Linked DNA regions of Kluyveromyces lactis. The protein of the gene in region 1 interacts with the protein of each later gene in a pairwise test. Links are inferred from orthologs where the notes say so. Each region holds a gene or a part of one and is shown on either strand. Other genes may lie near its edges.

Region 1 (3,173 bases):
AACAGCTGTCGAAGGCTAGTGATTCAACAGCAGGAAATCTCATTAACATACAGATTCCGATGAATATGAGACCATACCTCATGAGAGTTCTACACAAAAATTCAAACTCAATTGCTGTCGGAAACTATGTCTCGGTTTCCGCCTGTACAGTTGATATTTCTAAAGATGAATTGGAACAATGGTCACTGGCACAAAATATTCAAGAACAACTAGAAAAATCCAAAAGTGATCCCGCAGCTGCGATCGAGTATATTAAATTGCTTAAGCAGGTCAATGTAGCGAAATTTCTTAAGTCGAAATATGCTGCAACCATTCCGGAGACTGCGTTCGAGTTATCAAATTTAGGTGTCTTGGATCCATCTTCTGCTAATGATGAATATCAGTTACTTAATGCTCAGTTCCACCAACCAAAATTTGTATCAAGTATACTATGCTGTTCGTCAATTTCTACCAGATTGGGTGGTCTTACAGTCAATATTTCATATCCTCCAACCCTTGACAAAGTTTTAAGACCATTGTTTGAGGATTTATAGATTCTAACGATGCTCTGGTATGCATATTTACCTTTAGCAATAAAACTCGGAGTTACTTTTCAGAGTTTAGCATAGCCATAGGCATTATTATGTAAACGTTTGAATGCGCAGATAAGAATCTTGTAGAATTGGATATTTAATATACGTAAGGGACAATTTTGTATGGTACTTTTCTTTCATACTCTTCCCAGAATACACCATACTTATTCCTGCACTTTTCTTCGTCTCTACTTTGTCTATGCAACAGTAATGCAGCAAAGTAGAAGAAATAATAATACGTTAGTGGGGTTTGGAATCCCGTGGCCAAACACCAACTCAGAGAAATCAACAAATCACCAAAATAATTAATGTGCTGGGAAACAGCCCACCAAGAATCACATAATAATTTTGTTCCTTTATCAGTTTGGATGGATTTTAATTGCGGTAGCTTTCCTTGTCTGAAATCTGACTTTTGCTTATTTGCAGAATGGAAAATCCAATAACCTAGTAACATTATAATAACAATCAACGTACTATGGGGCAGGCCAAACTCAATTGGTGAGACAGCTAAATATCGAGCCTGTAAGCAGTAAGTGAAAGGAACCAAACTCAAATCGCCAAAAGCTAGCATGAATCCAAAGCCATCAGTAGTGATATCCATCATTGTCAACACCCCTTCCTCATTCAAAACCCCATCAAAGATATAGAAACCCTGTAGAACATTTACCAATAACAAAGAGTCATAAATTTTACCAGATTCCCTATAGCTGTGGTGTAAGCATGAGAGATTGATCAAAAACCATAACAACATACCCGGTCTTAATTCTGCAAACATCTTGATGTCAAGAGGACCAATTCTGGGATTCAACTCTCTTCCAATGAACCAATCATACAAAATGTTCCCACTGTTGCCCCCCACAGCAAGAATACGTTCTTTAGTTCCTTTGCCATTTGTTCCCCATAATGGCACGAAACTGCCAATATAGACGAAGCAAGCCAACAAGAAAGAAAACAATATAGATATTATGCAGATGTCCGTTTGATGTTCGAATAAATACTGTAGTTCAGGCATTTCACCATTAGTCAATTGATATCTGACAGCTAAAACTAAAGTAAGTGCCATTGACACGGCAATTCCGTTAATCTTATATGGTAGCTTAGACCCATCTCTCAACTCGACACCGTAGAGTTTCGTGCCTGGTAAGAGAACATCCAAAACTGCTAGAGAGAAAAACCATGCAGAGTAATAAGTCCAAAGCTCACCATTGAAGAGATAACTGGATAATGGATTTACCTTGTTCCAAACTTCGATCCAGCTAAAGTTTCTGAATAGCCCTACGATATGATAGTCGGGTCTGATCAACTGGTTCAAGATGACAGTTAGAATGGGTAAGAAAACTGAAATCAGAAGGGCTCCGACCGGTCCAGAAAACTCATAATGAGTGGTCTTAGGATTTAAAGCTGTCATTGTTGCTAAGGACATTGGGTATTCAGCGCATTATAATAATAATATATACTAAATGCAAAAGTGATTTAGCCTTCTTTCTCTTAATTCTGTACTTTTCGCTACTTTATACTATTCTTTTTTTTAAGGTTCATGCTTGAATACGAAAATTGCTAAACGACGAACACATGCAAGGGTTCTATTTGAGAATGTAAACCGCTTACTTAACACGCACCATTGGGCAATCCTCTAATCCGGTTTTTTTCTATTGCTAACCTCCATTAGAAGTAAGGTATGTCATCACTGAAATGATAAGCGAGGTCTCCCTTGGCAGTGTCGGAACAGTAAACGAGCTATTACAGGTTCATCCACTAAAAATGTTATATTTTCTGGATACTCGGCATGTCATTAACCTAAAAAAACCACAAACAGGTTTCAAGAACGCTCATATTGCAGAATAGCATATATTTTGTCACAAATAATGTAATATTATCGTCATTCTGATAGCTATGGCTAGGGATCTGTAAAAGGTCCCAGCTATGGGCGATACCGTTACATAGAAGTATAAGTCCATGCTCTGCATTTATCCAAATTCCGTAAGTTAGTTTGGCATTCACCTCATCTTTTGAAGCATAATTTAAGCAAGTTAAATGGTCCAATTTTTCAGTGAAATTATCAATCGGATCACAGCTCATGATGAAGGTGTACTCCTTATGATATCTTTGTAAAGACCTCAAAAGCTCCACTCTTGTCAGCCGCTTGGCATTTGACCAAGCAGAATATTTGAATGTAATATCATAGAATAAGTCCCGAATGTATGCCCTTGTCAATAGCCCAAGATTTTGCTGAAGATAAATCTGGGCATATTTAGGATGTCTTGGTTTTTGAGCTTCGAAATTTTCCATGATTTTAATGAACTGTTGCCGATACTCTTCACATAATCTGTTCATTTGAAAATGGTCGTAATTGGTCTTTTGTAACAGGCGAGGAAATATTGAGCACTCATAGGAGTAGTGATCCGGCCAATGAGATTCACTTGACACCAACGTTGCATCCATTGAAATATTTTCATCAGCATAAGAAAATGGTCGTATATTCAAATAATGCTGATAAAGTCGATTCTGGCGTGGTTCGAATACTTGAAATGGTTCTTTTTGATGTTCCGATCGTTGAGTTAAGGTTATATTTGGACAATTTAACAACCAAACTAGTAGACT
Region 2 (2,863 bases), about 600 kb from region 1:
CGGTTTTTAATTTTTCATGTTACAGAAATGAAAAGAAAAGATTCCCATGCCAGAAAGAAGCAGGGTATGCATATGAAGAACAATATGTAAGTATTATAATCTTCAATATCTGATTCATTCCTACCTAACGTTAACACTCCAAAAATTAAATCAATCTTGAGGCAGACAAGCATGCTAATCGTTTCACAGACATTTTTTTAAATTTTTTTTATTTTCTTTGTTGAGATTATTCTTGTAGATATTATCCTGTCACATTGAGCATATGAATCAAAGCTACTCTTAAAATAACAGAAAGGAAAAGCCATGTATCCGTAAAAAAAAGAGAGGCATTGCTCTAGTGTTTTTTCGGATCTCAGCAAACATAAAAAGATGGCTCCTATCCTTTTTAGAGCTTTAAGCCAATTTCACTTCTTATGCTTAAGCAAAATACCATAAATAAATTAATTTTCGGAAACTAAAATTTTTCAAAACATATATTTTATTTTAAAAAATTCAAAATTCCACATTATTTTAATTAAAATTTTTTCAATATAAAATTAATAAAAAAATATTTTTAATTGCAATAAAGTAAAAGTTTAGAAATTTATTTTATATAAAAAGAGAGAAAATGTAAAATTTGATTTTAGTCACATGATGTTTTATGATTTTACTTAATTTTTGAATACATTACGTACGACAGACTCCACTGTCAAGAAGTTGAGCAGGTACTATAATCTTCGTTCCTGTTTATGCGTTTTTACTATTTATTTGAAGGTAGAACTGTTATTGAATGCTAACATTTGTGTTACTTTTGATTGATTTTAGTGAATTTTGCTTTATTTTATAGAATTTAATTATGTTTTTTGTATTTTTTTGAAGAATTTATTTTAACTTATTTTTTATTATTTTCTGAAAATATTTTTTTTATTTATTCTATTTATTATTTGCCATTATCTAAGGATTCTATTGCATATGGACAATTTGTATGTACAAATGAACTAATTAATTGTATGTTAAAGCAAAAATACAACTCTGGCTTAACAACACTCTAACCACTAACAGATCAAGAAACCTAAATTATTGTGATCATTAAGTATAGGAAAGGAGAAACCAATGGCTATTAATTAGTACGTTATCTTTCTATCCGACCATTTCACAATTTGGGAGACACTTTAAATTTGTCGTTTAGTTCTGTTTTAATATTCAGAAAAAAAAACAATTAGAGAATATTAGTTAACGTTAACACGATATTCAAGATCACACCAGGCAAATCGAATTCTTATCATACGTTGAGTCTACGTAAAACAAACAACTACTATGAGTTCAAGCGATGTTAAATCTGTACTACTAATTGGTGGATCTGGATTTCTAGGTCTCCATTTGATTCAGCAATTTTCTGAACTTAAACCACAACCTCAGATCCATGTTTTTGACGTAAGACCACTTCCAGATCGGATCTCAAAACAATTCACTTTTGATCCTTCGACAATTACCTTCCATCAAGGTGATCTAACGTCACCTGCTGATGTTAGAAAGGCAATTGAGACAAGTGGTGCCACGATCGTCGTTCACTCGGCATCTCCAATGCATGGTAATAGTCAAGAGATTTACGAAAAGGTCAACGTTAAGGGAACAAAAAATCTATTAACTGTCGCAAAACAATGTCGAGTTAAAGCAGTAGTATATACCTCATCTGCTGGTGTTATTTTCAATGGTCAGGACATTCACAATGCTGATGAAACTTGGCCAATTCCAGAAGTTCCAATGGATGGTTATAACGAAACAAAGGCAATTGCGGAAGAAATGGTGCTATCAGCAAACGATCCAGAAAATGACTTCCTAACAATAGCATTACGTCCTGCCGGTATTTTTGGTCCTGGTGATAGACAATTGGTCCCAGGTTTGAGGCAAGTCGCTAAGTTGGGGCAATCAAAGTTTCAAATTGGTGACAATAACAACCTGTTCGACTGGACCTACGCTGGAAACGTTGCAGATGCTCACGTACTAGCCGCACAAAAGCTTCTGAATCCAACTACTGCTGCGCTAGTATCTGGAGAAACATTTTTCATCACCAATGACACACCAACATATTTTTGGGCTTTGGCACGCACGGTTTGGAAGGCAGACGGTCATATTGATAAGAGAGTTATTGTTCTAAATAGACCCATGGCTATTGCTGCGGGGTACCTATCTCAATTCTTCTCTAAATTGTTGGGCAAAGAGCCAGGTTTGACTCCCTTCAGAGTTAAAATCGTTTGTGCCTACCGTTATCACAACATTTCAAAAGCTAAAGAACTTTTAGGATACCAACCAAGGGTTGATATCGAAGAAGGTATCAGAAGAACGTTGGCATGGATGGATGAAGGCTTATAAAGGCCAACTCTATATGAATTGTATATATCTATGTCTATCTATAACTTTACTCATCGTCACAAGTTAAACATTTGAAAGCACCCTCGTGTTGGCCCATGTTTTCTAAACAGGAGCTGTGGAAACTGTGCCCACAACTAAATACAACGAGTGCACTGCTACCACTAGCGGCGACCTCGTGGCATCTCGCTGACTCCCACTGTTCAAAGACTTTATTATCGATTCCAATTCCCCATATTTTCTTGCCACATACTTCACACTCATGAGACTGAATTGCCCAACCATGTTCTTTTCTGTGCATATAGGTTGTAATATCTGATGATGCACTTTGATTGATAATCTGTAAAATAAGAAGTTTCACTGTCTCTTCGACAGAATAAGCTGTGAAAATATTCTTCAACACCACTTTAATATCTTTGATTTTACTCAAGATAAGAGATTTGTTTTCAAATATCTCCATTAGGGTCTTCCAGAAAAAGCTCTCCTCCGAGTTTTCGATATCATTCAGGTTCCC
Region 3 (2,799 bases), on another chromosome or scaffold:
GTCTTTGTTAGTGTTTTCGTTATTGGCCTGAAAGGTAATACGCTGAACACATTTCTTTTTTAGCTCTGTGCACAGTGATATTCCAGAGTGAATAAGTCAGTGATTGACATTTCAACAAACTAAATAAGCAGATCCTAATACAGTTGTTTACATATACTACAGCTGTTAACTGATTTTCCGATTTCCGTTGGTTATTAAACTCACAGTTTAGAAGACAATTGTAAATACTTTGTTAGGATTGTGATATATAATTGACAAGGAAGACCTTTACTCTCTCAAAGATTTGCTATTCATTACAAGAACCAGGAGCTTCACAACACATCATAGAACAGTAGTCGGTTAGGCATTTACAAAGTTACTGTTAGTTTTCGCTGTTTTTCAATTACAATGTCAGTTAGATTACCACTGGGGCAAATATCTAGCTCAAAACTGAACGTATTGAGTCAAGAGAACAAACTTCATCAGGGGAAACGTTCTGTGAGACCACAGCTAAACACTCCTTCTAATAGTCCATCGACAGAATCGTTCAACAATTCAGAAATTTCATTAGCATCAGTCCTAAACACTCAAACTTCATCCAGCCAGTTCTACAGCACACCACCTCAAGCTCTACATGACGTTAAAGAAAGGATAAACAACGAATTAACAGAAAAGAACTCAAAACTGACTGATGAAAATATACTTAGACTTAGATCAAGGGTTCAGCTAGCGTACTATAAGTACAGAACCAAACAAGTGCACCTGAAGTTCTCAGAAATAGTAAGTCGCAAGAAACAGTCAGCTAACAAGATAAGGAAACCCGAAAATGACAGGAAATCCAGAAAGTTGGCTGGATTGAATCCGGCCATAGAAGCTACTTCAAGAACTAATAATAATAACAATGGGACTTCAAACTTGGCAGTGTGCTCGCAACAACACATCCAATGTATCACACCGGAGAAAAGGTACCCGGCAAAACCATACGCATCAACATCCGCGATCTCATCCGGATACACACCGGTATCAGTGAAAGCAGCTAAGTCACTACTACAAATGTTCAGCACAGGTGCTTGAACCAGCAATGAGATCCACCTGTATCATATAATACTCACAATTCACTCTTTTCTACATCTCTCTGTCCCCATCTCGTAAATACAGGCTATATAGATACACATATATATAGTCACATTAATAATGGTCATATGTATTAGTAAAACAAGCTTTAATAATGTAAATCATATAGCTTGTTACTCCAAGACTAAGCTTTCGGTAAGTTTCTTGAATTTCGTACCTTTCTTCAGCTTCTTCTGAGTTTTCAATATAAACGAGTACTGTGTGAAAAATTCAGTCTCGAATGGATTTCCGATGAGCATAAACGACAAAAATTATGGAAAACATCCATATATATATATATATATATAAGGTATGATAAGCGAAAGTGAATTTGGCGATGAGCTACTAATCCAAAGGTTGAGAAAGTGAAATATAACGGAGAGAAATTATCTTTTTGGAGTAAATTGTCTTGTGTTCCGAAACTAGTAATTCGCCATGAAGCTTTTGAAAATTGCACTATTACTAGGTACAGCGTACTATCTGTTGAACAGTTTACTATATACCTGGTTGCCAACCAACTACATTTTTGATGCAAAGACATTGAACGAGATATCCAATTCTGTTATCAGCAAATATGACGCTGAATCCGAAACATTCGATGTTAAGGTGATGCTAAAAGATTTAAGAGATGCATTGGCCAAACATTACGGTGATGACTATATCAACCAATGGGTTGATGAAGAATGGGTGTTCAACAATGCTGGTGGTGCCATGGGTCAAATGATTATCTTGCATGCTAGTATCAGCGAGTATTTGATTATTTTCGGTAGTGCCGTTGGTACTGAAGGTCACACCGGTGTACACTTTGCTGATGACCATTTCACCATTCTTTACGGTGAACAGAGGGCCAGTTTGCCATATAACATGGAACCTGAAATTTACAAACCAGGTCAAACTCATCACTTGAAAAAAGGTTATGCCAAGCAATATTCCATGCCAAGCGGATCCTTTGCTTTGGAATTGGCCCAGGGATGGATTCCAGCCATGCTACCATTTGGATTCCTCGACACTTTCTCAAGTACCTTAGACATCTACACCTTATACAGAACGGTGTATTTGACTGCAAGAGATATGATCAAGAATTTGATCCAAAATCACAAGTTTTGAATTAAAGAAGGAAAGTGCTGAACTTGCTGCCTGTACGTACAATTATATTTAAAGTAGATATTTCCTGCAAGAGCATGTAGTAAAACACACATATTCATTGATATAAGTACTCGGTTCACTTTATATTATCATTGTCAATCTACATAAAATTATCTGTTGGCTATATATCCAAAAAATTAAGGCTTAACGAAATCTTCGAAGACTTCTCAATAATAGTCGAATGGGAACGAGGAATAGTAAAAAAAAAGAAGGCTTCCAACCCATCCCAATCAACGATTTAATATGACCGGTGATACCGAGAAGGAGCAAGAACCTAGTTCCGGGGAACAACAACTAAATGTCTTGAAACGAATTCATGAAATTCTCACGAAACATTCATCAACACAAACTGAATTTATACCACTCCTTTACCATTCTTTGAAACAAATTAGTAAGCATCCAAATAACAGTTCAAATTCGCTGGATGCGGCTACTTCGAGTATAAGGCATCGTTTGAAAACAGCAAAGACTCTACTTCAGCAAGACCCTGCAGCCATTGAGCTAGTCTCAAAGACTCCCGAACAATGGCAACTGCATATACAGGAAAAGAAGATTGAACTT

Evidence for each region.
Region 2: the proteins of ERG24 (region 1) and ERG26 interact in binary tests that used the Saccharomyces cerevisiae proteins (3 or more experiments, as listed by UniProt). The link is inferred for Kluyveromyces lactis from reciprocal best matches to the Saccharomyces cerevisiae genes ERG24 and ERG26.
Region 3: the proteins of ERG24 (region 1) and ERG2 interact in binary tests that used the Saccharomyces cerevisiae proteins (3 or more experiments, as listed by UniProt). The link is inferred for Kluyveromyces lactis from reciprocal best matches to the Saccharomyces cerevisiae genes ERG24 and ERG2.

The regions. Positions count from the first base shown.
Region 1 is NC_006039.1:1,040,492-1,043,664, forward strand, and holds ERG24 (delta(14)-sterol reductase), read right to left. Parts: upstream 1,996-3,173; coding exon 670-1,995; downstream 1-669. Other genes in the region: SLI1 (N-acetyltransferase), read left to right, coding at 1-533; NDJ1 (Ndj1p), read right to left, coding at 2,370-3,173. UniProt on the Saccharomyces cerevisiae protein: Delta(14)-sterol reductase; part of the third module of ergosterol biosynthesis pathway that includes the late steps of the pathway. ERG24 reduces the C14=C15 double bond of 4,4-dimethyl-cholesta-8,14,24-trienol to produce 4,4-dimethyl-cholesta-8,24-dienol.
Region 2 is NC_006039.1:1,635,923-1,638,785, reverse strand, and holds ERG26 (sterol-4-alpha-carboxylate 3-dehydrogenase (decarboxylating)), read left to right. Parts: upstream 1-1,296; coding exon 1,297-2,352; downstream 2,353-2,863. Other genes in the region: CORVET complex membrane-binding subunit VPS8, read right to left, coding at 2,399-2,863. UniProt on the Saccharomyces cerevisiae protein: Sterol-4-alpha-carboxylate 3-dehydrogenase; part of the third module of ergosterol biosynthesis pathway that includes the late steps of the pathway.
Region 3 is NC_006042.1:615,176-617,974, reverse strand, and holds ERG2 (C-8 sterol isomerase ERG2), read left to right. Parts: upstream 1-1,527; coding exon 1,528-2,199; downstream 2,200-2,799. Other genes in the region: NRM1 (Nrm1p), read left to right, coding at 388-1,053; CSE2 (Cse2p), read left to right, coding at 2,482-2,799. UniProt on the Saccharomyces cerevisiae protein: C-8 sterol isomerase; part of the third module of ergosterol biosynthesis pathway that includes the late steps of the pathway. ERG2 catalyzes the reaction which results in unsaturation at C-7 in the B ring of sterols and thus converts fecosterol to episterol.